Saccharomyces cerevisiae S288C: one gene and its partners. Changing the gene in region 1 together with any one later gene gives a genetic interaction. Each region holds a gene or a part of one and is shown in the gene's direction. Other genes may lie near its edges.

Evidence for each region.
Region 2: of IGO1 (region 1) and DHH1, changing one suppresses a phenotype caused by changing the other (phenotypic suppression), as found in Saccharomyces cerevisiae (2 studies listed by BioGRID).
Region 3: of IGO1 (region 1) and STB1, changing one suppresses a phenotype caused by changing the other (phenotypic suppression), as found in Saccharomyces cerevisiae (one study listed by BioGRID).
Region 4: mutations in IGO1 (region 1) and MIH1 impair growth when combined (synthetic growth defect), as found in Saccharomyces cerevisiae (one study listed by BioGRID).

What each region holds. Positions count from the first base shown.
Region 1 is NC_001146.8:337,787-342,909, forward strand, and holds IGO1 (phosphatase regulator), read left to right. Parts: upstream 1-2,565; coding exon 2,566-3,072; downstream 3,073-5,123. Other genes in the region: ASI2 (Asi2p), read right to left, coding at 692-1,561; PGA1 (Pga1p), read left to right, coding at 1,826-2,422; NSG2 (Nsg2p), read right to left, coding at 3,283-4,182; YNL155C-A (uncharacterized protein), read right to left, coding at 4,125-4,349; CUZ1 (Cuz1p), read left to right, coding at 4,730-5,123. UniProt on the Saccharomyces cerevisiae protein: Required for TORC1 to properly control gene expression and chronological life span. Plays an essential role in initiation of the G0 program by preventing the degradation of specific nutrient-regulated mRNAs via the 5'-3' mRNA decay pathway.
Region 2 is NC_001136.10:168,420-174,512, reverse strand, and holds DHH1 (DExD/H-box ATP-dependent RNA helicase DHH1), read left to right. Parts: upstream 1-2,582; coding exon 2,583-4,103; downstream 4,104-6,093. Other genes in the region: DMO2 (Dmo2p), read left to right, coding at 1-281; mitogen-activated protein kinase kinase STE7, read right to left, coding at 485-2,032; YDL159W-A (uncharacterized protein), read right to left, coding at 2,200-2,331; MHF2 (Mhf2p), read left to right, coding at 4,905-5,147; ENT1 (epsin), read right to left, coding at 5,435-6,093. UniProt on the Saccharomyces cerevisiae protein: ATP-dependent RNA helicase involved in mRNA turnover, and more specifically in mRNA decapping by activating the decapping enzyme DCP1.
Region 3 is NC_001146.8:49,007-55,035, forward strand, and holds STB1 (Stb1p), read left to right. Parts: upstream 1-3,655; coding exon 3,656-4,918; downstream 4,919-6,029. Other genes in the region: RFA2 (Rfa2p), read left to right, coding at 1-210; putative SCF ubiquitin ligase complex subunit SKP2, read right to left, coding at 391-2,682; ZIM17 (Zim17p), read right to left, coding at 2,901-3,425; KRI1 (Kri1p), read right to left, coding at 5,116-6,029. UniProt on the Saccharomyces cerevisiae protein: Involved in the regulation and timing of MBF-dependent transcription in late G1 of the cell cycle.
Region 4 is NC_001145.3:340,009-346,257, reverse strand, and holds MIH1 (putative tyrosine protein phosphatase MIH1), read left to right. Parts: upstream 1-2,737; coding exon 2,738-4,402; downstream 4,403-6,249. Other genes in the region: stress-responsive transcriptional activator MSN2, read left to right, coding at 1-1,855; IMP2 (endopeptidase catalytic subunit), read right to left, coding at 4,583-5,116; RCH1 (Rch1p), read left to right, coding at 5,536-6,249.

The sequences.
Region 1 (5,123 bases):
CCCAAATAATTAATTAATTAATTGATGAAAGAATCATATAAATTCTTGGCCATACATATTTTTTTATTATCTTTTGCTACATTGACCATAGGTGAATATCTTCCCGGGGTGACACTCCACTGAAGTGGGAAAAAAAGAAAAGTTTTAAAACATTGCTCACCTTAAGTCTCGAAGGTCTAGCATTCACTACCTGTAAGTGTCAAGACCCCACATGTATACATGGATACAATAAAGAAACAATGTCCGTATAATTTGTATACATTTTACTACAGATAAGGGATCTCACCCCCTTCTTTTGTGTCTAAGTGAAATCTTCTGATATATTTAGTGTTTTATAGCGTCCATGTTTTAAACTAGAACGGCAAAATAGTAGTTGTTGTAAACGCTTATTTTCGAGACATCAGGTAAAAAGGATAGTTAAATCTTACAATCAATGCATGTAGTGAGTGGCGTTTATCAATAGTTTTTAACAATTCCCATTTTGAAAGAAGCCCACAACAACCCTAGTAGTTCGTTAATATACGTTATGATGGTCAAGTGTCACAGTACGGAAAGCTTGCAAACAGCTCTTACATAGAGGAGTTGCTTCAAAATAAACGTCCTCTGGTGTCAAGTGTCTCATACAGCGACCACATGCGAAAGAAACTACTACAGATAAGCAAATACACAAATTATAATCGTGGATTCATCATCAGAATACGCCTGGCCCTGTAATCCTTTGGCTCACCAACATTCGATGGACACCTTTATATCTTCTAATAACAGTGAATAATAGACACAATACGAAGAAAAACCCAGCGGTAACCATGTAAACGGTACCACTTACGCCATAAGCTAAATAGATCAGAATGGTAGAGACTTTGACAAATAGCTCGAAAGCTTTAGCGAACATTAGTCTTATCCAATTTAAGTTGGGTTCATTGCCATCTCTACTTTTCATAATATGTTTTATCACAGGTGAAGAGTAAAATACAATGATGTTATGAAACTTTCCAAGCAACCCTAATTTACCAGTATCCTTATATGCTATTAATGTCGTGCCACCAGAACCAAATATCTTGGCAAATTTCCAGTATCCCACGATTTCGATTATAAAATCATTCTCTGAAAAGGTCATTGAATTGAACCCGCTCCTTAATATGTTGTATACGGAAAATGGGAATAAAATTAGCCCAATAAAGTAATCTAAAATGAATAAATTTCTAAGAAAAGTTCTGAGAGGGCTCTGCTGCCTTGCTGTGAATGGGGAATCGGCCGTATTGGCGTTGGTGGCTCTTATAGTGTCTGCATTGATTCCTCCATTTCCGTTTGTGGTTGCATCCATATTAGCTGCTCTATTTATATTTGAAGTAGAACTCATATTCCTCCTAAGGGAGTTAAATATTCCATCGATTGCTTGCTGTACATCCTGCTGTAGTTCTTGCTGAGATTGCTCGGTTACAGGTGAAGGCTCTCTACTATGCCTCGTTTCCGATTCTTCTAGAAATCGCTGAAACAGATAATCATCATTATCGTCTCTTTCTGTCCAATTACTGCGGCGATGATTTTGAGGCCTCGCCATTTTTTCTCACTAAATGCTTGTGAGGATGTATGCGTTTGATTCGGTGTCTCTTTAATCATATTCCCGAATCGACCCTATTTGAAGGTAGAGGGAGTTGTTTCCTCTCACTATTGTTATAAAAGATCATCAATGACGGAAACTAATATGCAATGAAAAAATGAGAAGTTTACATGAATATGAAGATTAACTGCACAGCAATGTTGTTGACCCTTGGTATTCGCACACACTAAGCCAACATAGGTTCGTTCAATTTTTAAAAAGAAGATGGTCCGGCCTCAGAATGTTCACTGGTTTATCGCTACAATTGTATTTTTCATCGGATTTGTACACGCTAATACAGAATCAATCTTATATAAGGTTCCTCACAACTTTCCCCTCAAAAAACCAAGAGACAGCTCTACTTATGCAAGAGATGTAAACTTGATATCTTCCATATCACTATCGGGAGAAGCAATGAGTCAGATCACTATCGAGGCCAATACCACTGACTTGGAGTTGCATAATACTACGTATATTGAACTGGCGGACTTACAGCGAGACGAAACATATCAGATTAAAGTGTGTTGGTCAGCAATACATCCAATTTCCATTAATAATCTCCAAACTATCACAATACCACGTTTCACTGAATTTCAGGGAACTAAGTCAGACTACGCGAGAATACTAGTGACTTTCCAGGTCTTGTCTGACTCGTATCCTAGTGAGCATGCCATGGTTCCAATACAAGTCTCATTAATCACCACTCGGCTAGGTATCCCCGTGGATATTTACCCAACATTAATCGTTATGGTGCTATTAGTAGCAGGGCTTGTTGTTACCCGGGCACCACACGTATTGAACGATCTTTTGCTGAAATTTTAGTATGGAAGCCTGAGCCCCCTTTGGCTGGATAGCTTGGCCTCATCACAACTAGAACGTAAAAAAGTCCATTAACCATCAAATGCTTCTCATTAAAGTGGGTATTTTTATCGAAAGAAAGGGACCTGAATATCTAACTCGCCGCTATGTCGAATGAAAACTTATCTCCCAATAGTAGTAACCCAGATTTAACTAAACTGAATAACGGCGAAAGCGGAACTATTGATACCAGCAAATTCTCGCCCAACGAAATGAAGCTATACAAAATGTACGGAAAGCTGCCATCAAAGAAAGATATTTTTAAGCATACCATGCAGAAAAGAAAATATTTCGACAGTGGTGATTACGCTTTGCAGAAAGCTGGCATTCAAAACAATGATCCAATAAACTATGGAAAGAATAACCTGCCATTAACAAATCCCAGCAAACTACGAGAAGATATAATAAAAAGAAGGATAAGCACTTGTCCGTCAACTGCCTCAACCGCTGGTGTAGTAGATAATGCGACGTTGATACAAAAGGAGGGAAGTATATCGAGTGGACCACCATCGTCTAATAACGGTACTATTGGAGGTGGTAGTACAAGTTCAACGCCAGTGGGGAACCACAGCTCTTCGTCGTCCAGTTTGTATACTGAATCACCCATTAGATAAATAGACAACCTGTACTTTTTTATATTTTTTTAGGGAAAGAGAAGGGTCTCTTATATTTAACGCTTATTATGTGATTTCTCGAAATGTCAAGTGTTACAGCCATATGGCTGACTGTGTTTACGTTAATTAGTTATATATAAACGATAAGCCATTCTGATGTTATCTTCTTGTACTTCTAATTAATAATATTTACTCGTCAGAATTTCGACTTTAATGAGAATATAGATATCTTCCTAGTTTTCCAAACATTAGAGAACCAAGGAAATAAAAATCCATGAAATATAAAAATTGGGAACCGTCGATAATATCTTTGTAGCAAGAGATACAACAACCCACCCCAATGCAGATGCAGCTCATTAACATGGATATTGAGCCGTCAAAAAACAACCACAGTATAATATTCAGAAGCCCCCATGCCCCTGCCGCCTGCAAAGAGGAGTTCCACTGTATTTTCCTGATCCCAAATGTGACTCCCAACATGGCATTGATACTTCTAATAACAGAGGTCAAACTGTCATGGTGGACAGAGCTCTTAACAACCTCTGTTTGAAAAATATTATCCAGAATTGGTACAACAGAACCAAATAACAGTCCTTCAACACCGTAGCCTAACCAGTTTGGCAGAACCCCATTGGATAGCCAGTTACAAAGTTTGACACCCAGTAGAAGGGGTCTCGATGCAAAATCTGGATGTAAGAGATGATTATCGTGCAAGTTTCTGGACAGTTCATGATATGCGAAACCGCTCAATGACAAAATTAATACAGCTTGCAGGTAATGAAGAATATTTTGACGAGTTTGTCTGGTTCTTGACGGAAAGTTTTCGTGAATGGATGATGCTGATAAAATCCTTTCCAAATTATTAGAAGATACTGTGTTCCTTGGCAGCGAGCCGCCAACCTTATGGGCCAAGTAAAAAGTCGAATCAATAGTTTGATCTCTACTATATTTGGTAGAATCTATAGAGACAGAGCGTTTCAATTCTTCGTAAATTTCGTTATCTTCCGATCTCACGACGTCATCATCATATAATGAATAAAGCTGCGGTTTAGTCAGAGAGCAGATTGATTCGGTGCTCTTCTTTGGATCCGGTTCTCCTCTATTGGCCATTCTGTATGCTGTTTTCTTTGAGAAATACTTTGTCGTTTATCTTCGTCCTTGTCTTCTTTTTGGTCCTTTGTGTTTGAGTGCTTTCCAAACTTTTTCTTTACCTTTTGCACGCCAACTACTATGCCCTTTATTGCAAATAAAATAGGTACTACAATAAGCCCTATCATCAATGTTGAGCTGTCAACTAGAAGTTTAAGGAAAAGAACATCTCGAAGTTTAGTAATTTCCTTGCTTTCATATTTTAAATGTCTAGCTAATTTCGTATCTACCCTTTATCTCATGCCGATAAAAAGAAAAGTTCCCCCCTCGTGGCCAGCGACGTTCGTATATACATAAAACTGCCTCACCCTCCTTTCGGTGGCAAAAGCATGTTCTACAAATGAGTATAAAGATGTAATAAGAGCTTGTACAAGCAAGGACTCGAGCTAGGGCGGAAGTGTGACAACAGTGAGCTATAGGCACATTGTAGTGTACATCTACTGCAAGAGCTTGCATTAATTTTGATATAAAAAAAAGGACCATCAACTAATTTTTGCTATATTTAAGAATGTCGGCGGCTATCGAAAAAGAAACCGGAATGTTGGATGTAGGAAAGCACTGTGCATATTGTAGACAACTAGACTTCCTACCTTTCCATTGTTCGTTTTGCAATGAAGATTTCTGCTCGAACCATAGACTTAAGGAAGATCACCACTGTAGGTGGTTGCTAGAGCATGAAGAAGTTCATAAAACTGAAAAAAGTCCTAGCAAAAGCCGGGATGGCTCAAGTTCTAACGATGAAGCATATTTCAAGAGTCTGTTACCTGAGAGGGCCAGTGTTAGAATCCAGAGAGTAAGTGAAACAAGAGAGCCTTTGAGAGGTTCTAACACTGCCAAAGTGAGCTCTACTTTGAACTCAAAGACATTAGACAAAATATTTAAGTTCTTCCAAAGGAATGAGA
Region 2 (6,093 bases), on another chromosome or scaffold:
CTTGTCAAGTCATGAGCACTATGTTTTCTGTTGGATTTGGCTCATACTTGGCATCTGGGAAACCATTCAAGTATGGTAAAAAAGAAGCCAAAAGAGGCATTTCTCTGACTGAATTTGAAAAAAGAAACCCACAATGGTGGAAAGTAACTTTACGTAGCTTCGGTGGGTTATTAATCGCCTTCGGTTTCGTTAGAGGAACCGAAGGTTGGTTGTGGCATAAAAATAAAGAATATAAGAACTATAAGAAATTAAGTAACGATGGTGAAACACAGGCTAACTAGTATTATTCGCAAGCTTCTCTCAATCGTGAAATTTTCTGTACATAAAGTGCTACTTTGATGATTATTTTTAAAAATATTGTTACATTAGAAAATTGGTTTGTGATTTACATAATCAGGAGAGTCTATATATATATGAATATAGCTTTGAGAAAGGGATGTGAAAAAAAGTGCAATATGTTCCTAACTAATGTTATCGCATGCATTCAATGGGTTGATCTTTCCGATTGTTTCTTTTCTAACTTGGCACGGTCCAAGGCTTCTCTTTTAATTCTCTTGTCTTCCTTTATTTTAGATTTTATTTTTCTACACCAATGTCTAAATTTATCATCTTTAGACGGTGATACGTATTTCATTATAAGATCATGATGTAGCAATTCATGAATCGATGACCTTTCCCTTTCATTCTTAATACAACACCTATTGACAAAATCTGTCATTTCCTTGGAATAGATACGGTCTTTGGGTAATCTTGGTGAAGGCTCGTTGACAATACGTTGCAGCAAATCCAATATGCCATCAGGTGTATCGTTATGCCCACCTAGGGGAAACTCTCCAGTTACCAGCTCGATGATCATTAAGCCCAATGACCAAACGTCCCCTTTGATAGAATAAACGTTTCCTTGTATCCTCTCTGGTGACATATAAGTGGACGTTCCAACAAATGTATCAGCGATAGAATTTATTAGTTTTTTGGAAACTCCAAAATCACATAACTTAATCTGCCCCTTACTATTAATCAGAACATTGGAAGGCTTGATATCACGATGAATGATCTTATATTGTCGGTACAAATGATCCAAGCCATTTAGTACGCCATACGCTATTTTTGATATTGTTAATTCGTTGAACCAGGTTTTCTTACTCGAAACAGTCCCTCTTTGAACAAACCTTTTATAAACGGACAGTATTTTATCTAAAGAACCACAATCAGAGTATTCCATTAAAATTATGATTTCATTATTTATATGCTGGTTATAATAAGCTCCATAGAAGGTGATAATGTTTTCATGGGGCTTAACGTTTTTGACGATAGATAATTCCCTAACTAATTGGTTGATGATTGTACTGTTATTCTGTTCCACAGGAATGGTTTTTTTGGCAACTATTTTGGAATCAGGAACATGTAGTGCCTTCACCACAGTTCCAGAATTTCCAGCACCAATTTTCCCCAACTGAACCAAGTCCTGGAGTTGTATATAATTACCATTTGAAGTTCCCGACAACGTATCTTTCAGATCTGCTGCGGCTGGCGATAGGCTTTCCTCCAAAGGTGGTAGTGATATCGAATGTTCGTTTTCAACTGGTGTTGCAATATTGGACAATCCCTGAATCGTAGAGGGAGTAGAATTCGTGGATGATGGCGATAATCCGAAATTATTACTGTACGCATCTATAATGCATGGCGTGGACAAAGATGATGATGATGATACACACGGGGATTGTGATAGAGAAGACAGAACTAAAACAGGTTCATTTTGCGGTTGCTGTATTACCACAGTGTTTGGTTTCGATATAGCTTGGTCATCACCAAACGCATCCAACGTCAGTTTTTTTTTTATGCCTCTTCGCAAAAACAGGTTGCTATTATTCTGTATTGCATTAATGTTAGACATCACGTGGCCTTCTATTCGAGATTGTCCCTGGTGAGTCTCTGTCTTTTCCTGCAATTGGCCATTATTGCCCACATCTGGGTGCAGGTTAAGATTGAGCCCTTTCAAGTTCCTTCTCTGTAAAGTCTTTCGTTGAAACATGACCAACAACCAATATACCACGCTGCAAAAACAGATATGATCCGATGCAGTTTTCTTATCATTAGTGTCGCTTCACATTAACCTGTAGGTCTTCTAATCCATCAGATGGGCCAATAATAGTATGATATCGCCGTTACCCCACGAATCACTTATAACGAGGACAGTGATCAAAAAAGGGAGGGAAAAAAATTTCGTAAGAAAAAGGACAACACAATCTTAGAACTAATGGGCGATTGTAACATTGGGGTTTGCAAGAAAAGACAATCATCAATAAAAGTGTTTATTATCTGATTGTACATTTATTTCTCATCATTGGATTCAGTTTTGTTTCATCCACATTCTTTTAAGACCACAAGCTTAATATTTTCATTCATAAAGGATTGTACGACAAAACAACAATAATAGTAAATATAGTCATATTTTATTCCTAATAGAAAGATAGACGCAGAAAATTCTTACTTTTAGCCCTTTTATTTCTTCATAACCGCATCGCCATTCGCATAATAACTTATCCCAGGCCTAAAATACGACAAGAAAGAAAATAGTAGTAATGGGTTCCATCAATAATAACTTCAACACTAATAATAACAGTAATACGGATCTCGATCGGGACTGGAAAACTGCATTGAATATTCCCAAGAAGGATACCAGACCACAGACAGATGATGTCTTAAATACAAAGGGTAATACTTTTGAAGATTTTTATTTGAAAAGAGAGCTGTTAATGGGTATTTTTGAAGCCGGTTTTGAAAAACCATCCCCTATTCAAGAAGAGGCTATTCCGGTAGCAATAACTGGTAGAGACATATTGGCCAGAGCAAAGAATGGTACAGGTAAGACAGCCGCATTTGTTATTCCTACGTTAGAGAAAGTCAAACCAAAGTTGAATAAAATTCAGGCTTTGATCATGGTTCCCACAAGAGAGTTAGCTCTGCAAACTTCCCAAGTCGTCCGTACATTGGGAAAACACTGTGGTATTTCATGTATGGTGACCACTGGTGGTACCAATTTGAGAGACGATATTCTAAGATTAAATGAAACAGTCCATATTTTGGTTGGTACTCCTGGTAGAGTGTTGGATTTAGCTTCGAGAAAAGTAGCAGATCTGTCTGATTGTTCATTATTCATCATGGACGAAGCCGATAAAATGTTATCTCGTGACTTCAAGACAATAATTGAACAAATCTTATCCTTCTTACCTCCAACTCACCAATCTTTATTATTTAGCGCTACTTTCCCACTAACGGTTAAGGAATTCATGGTTAAACATCTGCATAAGCCTTATGAAATTAATTTGATGGAAGAATTGACTCTAAAGGGTATTACTCAATACTACGCCTTTGTTGAAGAAAGACAAAAGCTACATTGTTTAAATACTTTATTCTCTAAGCTTCAAATTAATCAAGCCATTATTTTTTGTAATTCTACTAACCGTGTCGAATTACTAGCCAAGAAAATCACTGATTTAGGCTATTCCTGTTATTACTCTCATGCAAGAATGAAGCAACAAGAAAGAAATAAAGTTTTCCACGAATTTCGTCAAGGTAAGGTTCGTACATTGGTCTGCTCCGATTTATTGACCCGTGGTATCGATATTCAAGCCGTTAATGTCGTTATCAATTTCGATTTCCCCAAAACGGCAGAAACATATTTACATCGTATTGGTAGATCCGGTAGGTTTGGCCACTTGGGTTTAGCAATCAATTTGATTAACTGGAATGATCGGTTTAACCTTTATAAAATCGAACAAGAACTGGGCACTGAAATTGCGGCTATTCCGGCCACTATCGATAAGTCATTGTATGTGGCTGAAAATGACGAAACGGTACCTGTCCCATTCCCGATAGAGCAACAGAGCTATCATCAACAAGCGATACCTCAGCAACAATTACCATCTCAGCAACAATTTGCTATTCCTCCGCAGCAACATCATCCACAATTCATGGTTCCTCCTTCGCATCAGCAACAACAGGCGTATCCTCCACCGCAAATGCCATCGCAGCAGGGGTATCCTCCACAGCAGGAACATTTCATGGCGATGCCACCTGGTCAGTCACAACCCCAGTATTAAAGAATATCTAAGAAAAAATAACTACTGTGGTGAGATACGCTTTTTTTGTGATCTAATCGTCGATTATTTTTATCTTTTTTCAAATCTCCATTGTGAATTACATTACTTTGTAACCATACTTTTACTATTGATTTTGAACAAGAATCAGTCGTAATTTAATTTTTGTCTCTGCTTTTTTATTTTTTTATCCGTTTTCTCTAGTTTCTGTGCTGATTTTTTTATCCTCATTTGCGCACCGTTTTTATTACTATCACTTTGTTATTTCTTTTTGTTTCTCTAAAATTATCTCAAACCACTTCATTCTTTTACCAGTCATTGTTGTAACCAATACTACCGTCCATATCAAGAGCTCAAGTGCACTTGCCCAGTTTCATCGACACTTTCGCTTTTAGCTAACTTTTATTGTTATAATTTCCACAATAAACTATTCATTTCAACTGACAAGATGAAACTTTCTTTGAATATTCTTTCTTTTTTTGAGTTTTTTTTTTTTTAAAAGCTTTTTTTTTTTTTTTTTTATAGAGAGTAATCTCAAGGAAAGAATATTAATACTGTGTATATATATATATATATATACATATATATATAAAACTGTTTAGATAAATTAACCAACCAAAAAGATACATGTATTTTTATTATTTTTACCTATTATTTTTTACTTTGCTGCATCTTCATGTTTCCGGGAGACCAGAATTATCTTTCGGGCCAAAATATCAAAAATCAATCATACATAAAAGCGTGTTAGAATTTACATTATTGCACTTAGAAAGGACATGAGTACAGAGCACAGTAATTGTGGTGATGTTATCTAAAGAAGCGTTAATAAAAATCCTCAGCCAAAATGAAGGTGGTAATGATATGAAAATTGCCGATGAAGTAGTACCAATGATACAGAAATATTTGGATATATTCATTGATGAGGCGGTGCTGCGGTCCTTGCAATCTCACAAGGACATTAACGGAGAACGTGGCGATAAAAGTCCCTTAGAGTTATCGCATCAAGATTTAGAGCGTATCGTAGGGCTTCTTCTGATGGATATGTAAAAGTATTCAACTTACATTACATCCATGTAAAGACATAAGACATTCCTGGTTGTCTGATAAATTTAAAGCACTATATTTTCTTTCAGTCGTCCTGAACTACGTTAGTTTACTAAAGTAGTTTTTGGAGCGATCGTGCGCTCACATATACAAATATACAGTTCATTTTATACTAAACGCTTGCATCAAAACGCGCTGTGAAATGATTAAATTACTTAGTCCATATATATTATGCGATGCGAGAAAATGCTCATCTGATTAGAAATGCGGACTGGAATGACAGAATCACTTCATAAATCAATTAGAGTATATCCCCGGTTATTTGAGCCATTATTTTGAGACTGCTGTTGAGACTGGTTACCAAAGCCATAGCCTGTTTGTGTTGGTACGACGCTAGTGCTTGGTAAACCTGTATACTGACTGTTCAAAAACGGATTGTGGTTTGGATCATCCGATACTTGCCTATATCCTGTTCCTTGAGAATTGATGAATGTTCCTGTCTTCGTATGTTGGGCAGGAATACGAGCCTCCCCTACATTTCCGAATGTATCAATACCTGTTCCTGTGGCTAGTAGCTCGTTTAGTTTACTATACTTGTCTGTCATTGATTGATTGCCTGTCCTGTTTTGAATCAATGGCTCTTGTTGTTTTTGTTGTTGCAGTTGCTGTGGAGAAGAAGCTGCTACTAGTTGGTTCCGTTTTGGTGAACTTGAGCTCTGTTCTGATTTGGCAAATGGATTGTTGGACATTGCCTGTTGCTGCTGTTGCATAGAAGCTAAGTACTGTTGTTCCTGTAGTTGTTGTTGTTGTTGAAACTGTGCTAGTTCTTCGGGTGTTATAGGATTCCCGAATACATCGTAGTACATTGGTTGTTGTTGCAACTGTTGTTGTTGCTGTTGTTGCTGTTGTTGCAATTGAAATTGTGCGTATTCCTCAGGAGTGATTGGGT
Region 3 (6,029 bases), 290 kb from region 1:
TCTTCCGGCTCCAGTCCGTTACAAAGAATTCTAGAATTTTGTAAGAAGCAATGTGAGGGCAAAGACGCTAATTCATTCGCTGTTCCCATTCCATTGATCTCGCAATCCTTGAATTTGGATGAAACTACCGTCAGAAACTGCTGTACGACCTTGACTGACCAGGGTTTTATCTACCCAACTTTTGATGACAATAACTTCTTTGCCCTATGAAAATATATAGATTATTTTTTTAGCATTTCTTAGTATTCGTTTGTGTATTTCTACTAGGTAAGTACCAAAATTTGCCGGAAATAGAGTGGAAAATGGAACCCGTTCCAAGAAGGGGTAAGATGCATGAATATTAAGTTGGTTGCATAAATATGCTATATAAAGTCCACTACAAAAAGTCATTTATTTTTGCCCGTAAGAATAAAGAACGAATCCGTCCTTATCTCTGACTTCAATGGGAACATTTACACGCAGTACGGGCTTCAATAATAGTTCCCAGTCGTATCTGGTTCTAGGTGTACATAATGAAAAATGTCTCAGCATTCTTATTTTGACAGCTTTGAATTTTGACAAATTTCTCAGGAAACACCAGAGGTTAATATTTGGAATATCTTTAAAATTCTCTGGATCTTGGAAATCATTGAAAAAATTTTCCAATGTCACATTTTGTAAGAACTCCTCCACATCTAAATCTCTATATTCGATGGTTCGGTTCTTCAATTTGATTAAACTATCTCTTAGGCAACGCCTTACAGAGTTGTTCCAATAGTAAGTGTGGTGAATGTCTGATTCAGGGCTCATTACTGTACTTAAATTTGGAACTGCATTAGCATTTGGTATGTTATCTCTTATGGAATTATTTTCGTAACCGATTAATGTTTCTTGATCGTTCTCGTCGCCAACATCCTCATCTGTCTCATCAACACTAGTAATTGTTCTTGCTAGATGTTCCCAAAACGATAGAGGGGATAAAGGATACACATTGGTAAAGGGGATATTGATTACGTTAATAGAAATATTTTTACTTGGAAGTCTCTCCCAAAGTAAGCGGTAATAATGGTAGAAAGAATGAAATTCAGGGATTCTTTGTCGTTGAAAATTTTGTAGCTGTGCCGCAGTTAACATGGCGGGCTTTTTGTTATTGTCTGGTGATGGGTTATTTGAAACATCATTTCCTGTAGTTCTAGAAATATAGTTCAGATTTAAGGACAATACAACTGAAGATGTCGGCGGAGGAGTAATTATCTTCGAATCTGATGGCGCTTCAAATAATGTTTCTGTCATGGAATTGCAGTCATCAAAATCATCTTCTGTATCCAAACTTCGCTGTTGGAAATAATATGATTCGCCGACTACCTGTTCGTTAGTGAAACATTTGCTATTACAATCAATTGTTAGATTGGATAACGATGGGAAACAACTGCATAACAATAAGTCGAATTTACTGTTAATCTTCAGTAAGGATAGATGTTTGACCATTTTAAAGTAAGAGTGAAACAAACGTAATATTCCATTTCCAGGAACTACATCACATGAATCTAAAGTAAGTGCAGTGATAGGAGACTGTAAACTGTACAGTTCATTATCTTCGTTCTTTAGAAATAGTGGTAAGAATTCCATTGGAGTATCTAGCGATTCGGTGTCTATCGTTACATTTTCTAGTTTAAGTTCATTAATTATGCCGAAACAGCAGAATAAACTCGGTCTTAGTACGAGCTTTTGGTGATGGCGTTGACGATTAAAGGTTCTTTGTCTTTTATTATTAGCTTTGATTTCCAGTATTTTCAACCTTGGCAGAGAATAATACTTGGATTCGTATTCTTTGACAAATTTTTTGGATAGTTGGAAAGTCCTCAAATCTTCGTTTGTGATGGATTGCTGGCCCTTGATTATTTTCTTGAAAAAATCTCTAGATCCATCGTTGAATACAGAGTACCATAAAGGAATTTTAAAATTCGGTTCCACATCACTCAGAATCACTCTGGTCAGGTTCGGTAGATAGTCTATAATATCAAGCATTAGCTCAATATAAGTATAATGGAAGTAGTTGCTTTCCAATTTATCAAGCAGTTTGATTCGTTCTGAAGTTATGATGGGAGTCTCATCGTTTAGTCTGATGTTATTCAGTTTTTTTACGTCTTTATCATACGAATCGAGTTTATAAGATCCAGCAATAATAGAATCTTGGCCACTCTTATTATAGAACTTACTGTATTTTAACAACGAGTCTTGGGACTGAGGATTTTTGAATTCGATGGATCTTACGAGGAACCTTGCATTTTGTGATCTAGATTGTGTGCTACAATCACCGCTGTGTGTGACAATGTTCGACGTGTGGAACTCGGAGTGTATCAAAGCATTGAACTTTAACAACGAAAGTTTTGAGTCCAAAATAACGTTTTGGAAAAGGAACTCATTCGTAATCAAATTGTAGAACCTCGAATTGACTTGGCATAGTGTTACTAATGTATTGAAGTCCAAAGTTCGCAGTATTAACAGTAGAACTTTTGTTGGCAAACACATGAGGGACGATTTATCGTTGAAGCGTAGTGATCTCGATTTGATATCATGGCTCGTACTATGTAGAAGGCTTTTGGCATCAGCACAGCCCTCTTCCTCTTCTTCTTCCTCCTTCGCAGCACTGGAGACCAGCGAGAAATATTTTGATCTACCAAACAATTGCAACCGTTTCATGATTCGGTTGGTTTGAACGTTTGAAAATGCGGTTCAACTTTTCATATCTAGCAGTGGCTCATCTTTATGTACTCTAGTCCTAAATCTTCTGCTGGTTATCGCAAAAAAATATGTGATGTGCGGGTTTTTGGCAGTAATCATGACTCAGTCTCTGGAAAAACGTGCTATTTAACGGTTATATATCTATCTATGTACATGCCTGTGCATGAGCTCTTCATTCATTTCTGGGAAGGGTGAGGGAGCTGGGATGCATTTTCTGAGTTGTTCTTGGCATATTTTCCCAGGACGTCCTTTAGCGAATCTGGGATGTCTTCAAACTCCAAGTCGCCCACGTCTTGGCTAACTTGTTCTCCGTTAGCTTTCATTAACTGTTCCACGGTAACATGATGATCATGGAATATTTTCAGATGGTCTGCTATCAAATGTCTCACTTTGCAGTGCGGACAAGAGATCAAGACAGTACCTTTCTCGTACGCCTGCTTGGACATTGTGTGTGAAGATCGGGTGTTACATTTCTTGCAGGTGAAAGCTATCATCATCTTAGGCTTGTCTACCTTAAAAGACCCCAAATGAACCTTCTTATCGTCCTTTTTCACTTCATTATGTGCGATGATATTGGTATGCAACGCTGCTGCGGGTAGAGTACGGCACACGTTGTAGCGTACGCGAGGCGCCCAACATCTGGCAAAGTACCTGGTAATTGGTATTTTACTTTGCAGTAGTGTTCTAGTCCTCGGAATCATGTTCAGTCTCTTGATATTCCAGTTGCACCGGTGCTGCTTTAGTATCGCTGATCCCTTGAAGCCAACATGACGCTCTTTCACCTTTCCTCTCATAATTTTGATATCACGCGAAAATGCAAGAAAAAAAAATTACAATTATGAAGTGCAGAAGGAACCAAAAATATCATCGAAAGAAGGAGTACGTAGAGCGTTACTATTTTCAATCAGTGTTCCCATTGTGCATACAAGAAATGTCTCAACCCCAGATGTCCCCTGAAAAAGAGCAAGAATTGGCCTCCAAGATTTTGCATAGAGCTGAGTTGGCTCAGATGACGCGTCAATTAAAGCTTGGTTTAAGTAATGTCCCATCAACAAAACGAAAACAGGACTCTACAACAAAGAAAAGAAGCGGAGAGGATGCCGAAGATGTTGATGAGGACCACAAAACTCTTTTGGAAGCCATATCGCCTGCGAAAAAGCCTCTCCACGATGATACAAATAAAATGACTGTTATATCGCCCGTAAAATTTGTAGAGAAGCCAAATACTCCCCCAAGTTCACGCCAACGAAAAGCCGAAGACCGCTCACAGCAGATCAAGCCTAGGAAGGAGGACACTCCATCTACTCCGAGGGCTTCTGCTACACCTATAATCTTACCACACGCTTCGTCACACTACCAGCGCCCCCATGATAAGAATTTCATGACGCCAAAACGTAATAATAACAACAGCAGTAACCATAGCAATAACAATAATAATATCAAGAAGAAGGCAGCAGGCTCTAAGGATGCTCCACAGGACAGCGACAACACTGCGGGCGCTGATCTCTTAATGTATTTAGCCACAAGTCCATATAATAAGTCATCACATCATGGAACACCGATGGCCGTAAGGATGCCCACTACTCCACGCTCTTATCATTACGCGTCGCAATTGAGTTTGAACGGTAATACAGCAAGCACATCAAACGATGCAGTAAGATTCTCTCATATCAAACCTTCAGCGTCTTCTCCGCAGTCCACTTTCAAATCTAATCTGTTACCGAATTTTCCGGACGAATCTCTCATGGATTCTCCATCACTATACTTGAGCAATAATAACGGTAGTGTCCAGGCGACACTATCGCCACAGCAGAGAAGAAAGCCCACCACAAACACATTGCATCCACCTAGTAACGTACCTACCACGCCTTCAAGAGAATTGAACGGTACCAATTTTAACTTACTCAGGACGCCCAACTTCAACATGGGAGACTATCTGCATAATCTTTTCAGCCCTTCACCAAGGGTCCCCGCCCAGCAGGGAGCGTCAAACACGTCAGCTTCAATTCCTTCTGTTCCAGCGATGGTGCCCGGATCATCTTCCAACACTTCTGCGATAGCAACAGCTGCTATATCAAGCCACACCACAAACAATTTTCTAGATATGAACGCAAACGGGATCCCGCTCATTGTAGGACCCGGCACCGACCGTATAGGCGAAGGGGAGTCCATTGATGACAAACTCACTGATTGATCGTTGACGGCCATATCAGTTGATGATTCCATACTTCCTGAAATGGACCACTCAAAGGGACAAAAATGACAAATGTTGAAATTATAAAATTACATATTAATACGTAAAATGACATTCTTTTTTAGGGAAATTCGGAGATAGATTATCACTATGTAAGCTTATGTATCGTAATATACAGGGCCGATATTTCACCTAGTTTACTTTTTCTGGTGGCCTTTATGTTTATGACTGTGCCCCCTCTTGTGTTTGCTTTTAGAGGCTTTCTCTACAGGTATCAGTATGGTGTCCTCATCCTTCTCCCCTGCCTCTGCTTCGACTGGAGCTAACCCATTTTCGTTCTTAAAAGTTTTCTTCCTCCACTCTCTTAATCTTCTTGCCTTCATCACTTTCCTTTTATCCTTCGCTCTTAGTTCCTTGGAACGATAAGGTGCAAATTTCTTCAAACCAATAAATTCATTTAAATCAGTATCATCGGCGGCGAAAATCTCTCTTGCGGTCAAACCGAAACTCTCAGGAGAAACTTCACGGTAACGAAACTTCAAATCTTGCTCCTCTTTTGTACGGCTTCTACTCTTTCTTTCTTCTTCTTCTTTTTCAACCTCCTCTATTAGTGCTAGTTTGTTTTGTTCCAAAGCATTTTCCACTAATTCATTTACCTTTCTCTTTTCTTTCTTCTTTTGCAGTTTCTCTTCTTTCTTGCTCTTCTTTCTTTTTGGACCTTCTTCCTCGTCTTCTTCTTTTTGTTCTTTTTCCACTTCACCTTCTTCTGTTTGGTCATCACCATCGGCGTCTGCATAAAAGTCACCCATTATTTCGTCATCCTCGTTCCAGGTAGGCTTTCCCTCTTGTTGATAAAATTCTTCATTAAATAATTCAGCTACCACGTTATCCCACTCTTCTTCTTTGAAATCGTTCTTCAATAGGGTGTCAGTGATTTTTTTCACCATGTCGGCATTAATTTCAGCACCATATTCCTTTGTTAGTTGCTCTAAAATGTCAGTCAATTTATTCAATTTTTTAGTCTTCTTTTTCTGAAGAGCTGTCTCCTTCTCTGCTTTTATTTGCTCTTTAATTTTTCTTTTTTCCTCTCTTTTTCTTCTGCGTGAAGAGT
Region 4 (6,249 bases), on another chromosome or scaffold:
CGATAACAGCTTGCATTTGAAAGCTGATAGCAACAAAAATCGCGATGCAAGAACTATTGAAAATGATAGTGAAATTAAGAGTACTAATAATGCTAGTGGCTCTGGGGCAAATCAATACACAACTCTTACTTCACCTTATCCTATGAACGACATTTTGTACAACATGAACAATCCGTTACAATCACCGTCACCTTCATCGGTACCTCAAAATCCGACTATAAATCCTCCCATAAATACAGCAAGTAACGAAACTAATTTATCGCCTCAAACTTCAAATGGTAATGAAACTCTTATATCTCCTCGAGCCCAACAACATACGTCCATTAAAGATAATCGTCTGTCCTTACCTAATGGTGCTAATTCGAATCTTTTCATTGACACTAACCCAAACAATTTGAACGAAAAACTAAGAAATCAATTGAACTCAGATACAAATTCATATTCTAACTCCATTTCTAATTCAAACTCCAATTCTACGGGTAATTTAAATTCCAGTTATTTTAATTCACTGAACATAGACTCCATGCTAGATGATTACGTTTCTAGTGATCTCTTATTGAATGATGATGATGATGACACTAATTTATCACGCCGAAGATTTAGCGACGTTATAACAAACCAATTTCCGTCAATGACAAATTCGAGGAATTCTATTTCTCACTCTTTGGACCTTTGGAACCATCCGAAAATTAATCCAAGCAATAGAAATACAAATCTCAATATCACTACTAATTCTACCTCAAGTTCCAATGCAAGTCCGAATACCACTACTATGAACGCAAATGCAGACTCAAATATTGCTGGCAACCCGAAAAACAATGACGCTACCATAGACAATGAGTTGACACAGATTCTTAACGAATATAATATGAACTTCAACGATAATTTGGGCACATCCACTTCTGGCAAGAACAAATCTGCTTGCCCAAGTTCTTTTGATGCCAATGCTATGACAAAGATAAATCCAAGTCAGCAATTACAGCAACAGCTAAACCGAGTTCAACACAAGCAGCTCACCTCGTCACATAATAACAGTAGCACTAACATGAAATCCTTCAACAGCGATCTTTATTCAAGAAGGCAAAGAGCTTCTTTACCCATAATCGATGATTCACTAAGCTACGACCTGGTTAATAAGCAGGATGAAGACCCCAAGAACGATATGCTGCCGAATTCAAATTTGAGTTCATCTCAACAATTTATCAAACCGTCTATGATTCTTTCAGACAATGCGTCCGTTATTGCGAAAGTGGCGACTACAGGCTTGAGTAATGATATGCCATTTTTGACAGAGGAAGGTGAACAAAATGCTAATTCTACTCCAAATTTCGATCTTTCCATCACTCAAATGAATATGGCTCCATTATCGCCTGCATCATCATCCTCCACGTCTCTTGCAACAAATCATTTCTATCACCATTTCCCACAGCAGGGTCACCATACCATGAACTCTAAAATCGGTTCTTCCCTTCGGAGGCGGAAGTCTGCTGTGCCTTTGATGGGTACGGTGCCGCTTACAAATCAACAAAATAATATAAGCAGTAGTAGTGTCAACTCAACTGGCAATGGTGCTGGGGTTACGAAGGAAAGAAGGCCAAGTTACAGGAGAAAATCAATGACACCGTCCAGAAGATCAAGTGTCGTAATAGAATCAACAAAGGAACTCGAGGAGAAACCGTTCCACTGTCACATTTGTCCCAAGAGCTTTAAGCGCAGCGAACATTTGAAAAGGCATGTGAGATCTGTTCACTCTAACGAACGACCATTTGCTTGTCACATATGCGATAAGAAATTTAGTAGAAGCGATAATTTGTCGCAACACATCAAGACTCATAAAAAACATGGAGACATTTAATAGACCCCATTTTTTTAATTCGATAGATCTTTCTTCATAAGATAATTCTGTTCAATGACTTATGAAGCTTACGGCTTATTGTTATTATTATCATGATTCTTTGCCATTTTTCCGGTACCTTCACATTTTGAAGGAATTCAGTTCCCCCGCCTGTAACAACTTAGATACACGTAGATAAAAATTAATATAGCCAAAATATTTGGTATGATAGGGTATAGTATAATATAATTAATACAATATAATATAATATAGTACAGTACAGTATAATATTGTATAATATCATATGGCACCGTAATATCATATATATATCCGTACAGTTTAATGAATTCCGTGCGCATTATGCTGTGCAATATGCCTGTCAGTTTGAAAATCGAAGATACCACATCGTACAAAAGCAAGAGGGGTGCCCCTAATGGGAGAAGATTACCGTTTTTATTTTGGGGTAGCTAACTGCGCCACAAATAGTATCTACCAGTTTGCTACTTTTAGAACTGTATTATGTATCTTTGCCGAATACTTAATTTCCTAGGCCTCATTTTCAGGACTAAGGATGAAGAGGGGCTTCAATGTTTTATATGGCGCTTTTTCTGTCCATTGTATACGTCAAAAAAGCATAGATACTCCACTTATTAGCGGTAAAGCCCTTTTTGATACATTGTTCCGGCGTTTAAATATTCTCATTATGATATTTCCCCAACAGTTACACTCTGTTATTTCCTTCTTTTTTATGCTTTATCTGTTTTTTCCCTGTTTCGATGCCGTATATCAGAAAACTTAAAGTTACAAGCGAAAACAAAGAAAAGAGAGTTAACTTGAAAGGAGACAAAAGATAAACAGAGCAGTGGACAAACCAGGATTGAAGTCAGCGAGGGTGAAGAAACCATGAACAATATATTTCATGGAACTGAAGATGAATGTGCCAATGAAGACGTTCTTAGTTTCCAAAAAATTTCCTTGAAAAGTCCCTTTGGTAAGAAGAAGAACATATTTAGAAATGTTCAGACCTTCTTTAAGTCAAAAAGCAAACATTCGAATGTCGACGATGATTTAATCAATAAAGAGAATCTTGCCTTTGATAAATCTCCATTGTTAACAAATCACAGGAGTAAGGAAATTGATGGTCCTTCACCGAATATAAAGCAGCTTGGCCATCGCGATGAGTTAGATGAAAATGAAAATGAAAATGATGATATAGTCTTAAGCATGCATTTTGCTTCTCAAACCTTACAAAGTCCAACAAGAAACTCATCAAGAAGATCTTTGACCAATAATAGGGATAATGATCTTTTAAGTAGAATCAAGTATCCTGGCAGTCCCCAGAGGTCGAGCTCTTTTTCAAGGTCAAGGTCCTTGTCGAGAAAGCCAAGCATGAATAGCAGTAGCAATTCAAGCAGGAGGGTGCAACGGCAAGATGGGAAAATTCCGAGGTCATCGAGAAAAAGTTCACAGAAATTTTCTAACATTACTCAGAATACTTTGAACTTCACGTCTGCGTCATCCAGTCCACTAGCTCCTAATTCGGTAGGGGTGAAATGTTTTGAATCATGCCTAGCCAAAACACAGATACCATATTATTATGACGATCGTAACTCAAATGACTTTTTCCCTCGAATTTCTCCAGAAACGTTGAAAAATATTCTGCAGAATAATATGTGCGAGTCATTTTATAATTCATGTCGTATTATAGATTGTCGGTTTGAATACGAATATACTGGCGGCCACATAATAAACTCCGTTAACATACACTCGAGAGATGAGTTAGAGTACGAATTTATCCATAAAGTTTTGCATAGCGATACTAGCAACAACAACACTCTACCAACTCTTTTAATTATCCATTGCGAATTTAGTTCCCACCGGGGACCTTCATTGGCCTCTCATTTGAGAAATTGTGATCGTATAATAAATCAGGATCATTATCCCAAATTATTCTATCCCGACATATTGATATTGGATGGCGGATACAAAGCTGTTTTTGACAATTTTCCTGAACTATGTTATCCACGTCAGTACGTGGGAATGAACTCACAAGAAAATTTGCTGAATTGTGAACAAGAAATGGATAAGTTTAGGAGAGAATCTAAAAGATTTGCTACTAAAAATAATTCTTTTAGAAAACTAGCTTCCCCTTCAAATCCTAACTTCTTTTATAGAGATAGCCATCAATCTTCAACAACAATGGCATCTTCTGCACTATCGTTCAGGTTTGAGCCGCCTCCGAAGCTGTCATTAAACCACAGAAGAGTCTCTAGTGGTTCATCATTAAATTCAAGTGAGAGTACAGGCGACGAAAATTTCTTCCCCATCTTAAGTAAGTCGTCTATGAGTAGTAACAGTAACCTAAGCACTTCACATATGCTACTAATGGACGGACTGGATACCCCATCATATTTTAGTTTCGAAGATGAGAGAGGCAATCATCAGCAAGTAAGTGGAGATGAAGAGCAAGACGGAGATTTTACTTTCGTTGGTTCCGACCGAGAAGATTTACCCAGGCCCGCAAGAAGATCGTTATTCCCTTCTCTAGAGACTGAAGATAAAAAATGATACTACATGTGCATGAAGTATTATGAAAAAAAGAAGTATATATTCAGGAACCGAACGGCAACAACATCAATACATAAATCACAATCATCTATATTTATTGCATTAGATTAATCACATAATATAAAAAATTTGCATTTGAATACCGGGGTCACTTCTAAATTCATAAAAATAAGCTGATTTTCATTCTAAAATGGCTCTTTTGCTAATGCAGTCTCTACCGGTACTCAGTTTGAGATCCGTTCCCCACCTGGAGGGTGGCCAAACAATTGTTATAGCTTTCCCTATGACCAACCCACTGGAAATGGGGCCAAAAGTATTGCTATCAATCGAATGAAAATAATTGTCCCCTTCGACCCATATGTGTCCCCTGGGCAGGTTCACTTGAGGTTTAGGGTATGGAAACTTCGTGTCAATGGTATCAAACGGTAAACCTTTAACCCTTTTGCAGTAAACTTTCCGAGGGTTTGTAGGAGCTTTGAAAAGGATAATGTCATCTCTAGATAAATTACTTGGGTTCTTGACTCCAAACTTCCAAAGCAGCACCCAATCTGTTGCCAGCGTTTCCGTTTGCGGGTTCAGCGTAGGCTGCATAGAGGTACCTTTAACTTGCGCAATATGGACCACATTATTATTGATTGTTAGAAGTACCGGAACCCATGAAATTGCTATTAGTGTGTTTCGTAAGAATCTTTTTGATGATCCGGCTCGAAACATTACTGTACAGTACAATGCAACAGCTTCATGAATAGCAGCACGCCTTCGTTAACAAGCACCCATCTAGTCATTCAATTAAGGCACTTGTTTTTTCCATTTTTTTCAGTAGCTCGGAACTTAGCCTCGCTCTCCTTCCGAGCTTGATCTTCCACAGTATTTCGATGACATTGGTCTACCCGTAAGTCTGAGCTCCAACGAACAGCCAGAAGCTAAGAAAGCATAAAAAAGAACCGAACCACTTTAAAATCTAGCAAATTTTAACCTTCAATTATATAAAGAGAGATTTATAGCTTTTTATTGCCTGAAACCGTCTATGCTACCTGAATCACCTTCGCACCCTTTTCTACGATATATCCCAACTCTGACATAACTTGCAAAAAGAAGGAAGACACACATTTAATACACCTACTTAGTGCCAAATGAAGACTCAGTACTCTCTAATACGAAAAATTTGGGCACATTCAGTAACAGAATTTCTGAAATCCCAGTGGTTTTTCATCTGTTTGGCTATTTTAATCGTTATTGCAAGATTTGCTCCGAATTTTGCAAGAGACGGAGGGTTAATTAAAGGCCAATATAGTATTGGGTACGGCTGCGTCGCCTGGATTTTTCTCCAAAGTGGCCTGGGAATGAAATCAAGGTCACTAATGGCAAATATGTTAAATTGGAGAGCTCATGCCACTATTCTGGTTCTGAGTTTCCTTATTACCTCGTCCATAGTATATGGATTTTGTTGCGCGGTAAAGGCTGCTAATGATCCGAAAATAGATGACTGGGTACTTATCGGTCTAATTTTGACTGCCACTTGTCCAACAACCGTGGCTTCAAACGTTATCATGACTACGAATGCAGGTGGAAATAGCCTTTTGTGCGTTTGTGAAGTATTCATTGGAAATTTGTTGGGTGCGTTTATTACACCTGCATTGGTTCAAATGTTTACTAACCGCGCACCATTTGCATACGGCAACCCTGCCACTGGAAATGGCATTGGTGCGCTTTATGGCCGTGTTATGAAACAGGTTGGTCTCTCTGTATTCGTACCCTTGTTTGTGGGTCAGGTTATTCAAAATTGCTTTCCGAAGGGTACTGCTTATTACCTGGGCTTTTTGAAAAAATACCATATTAAAATTGGA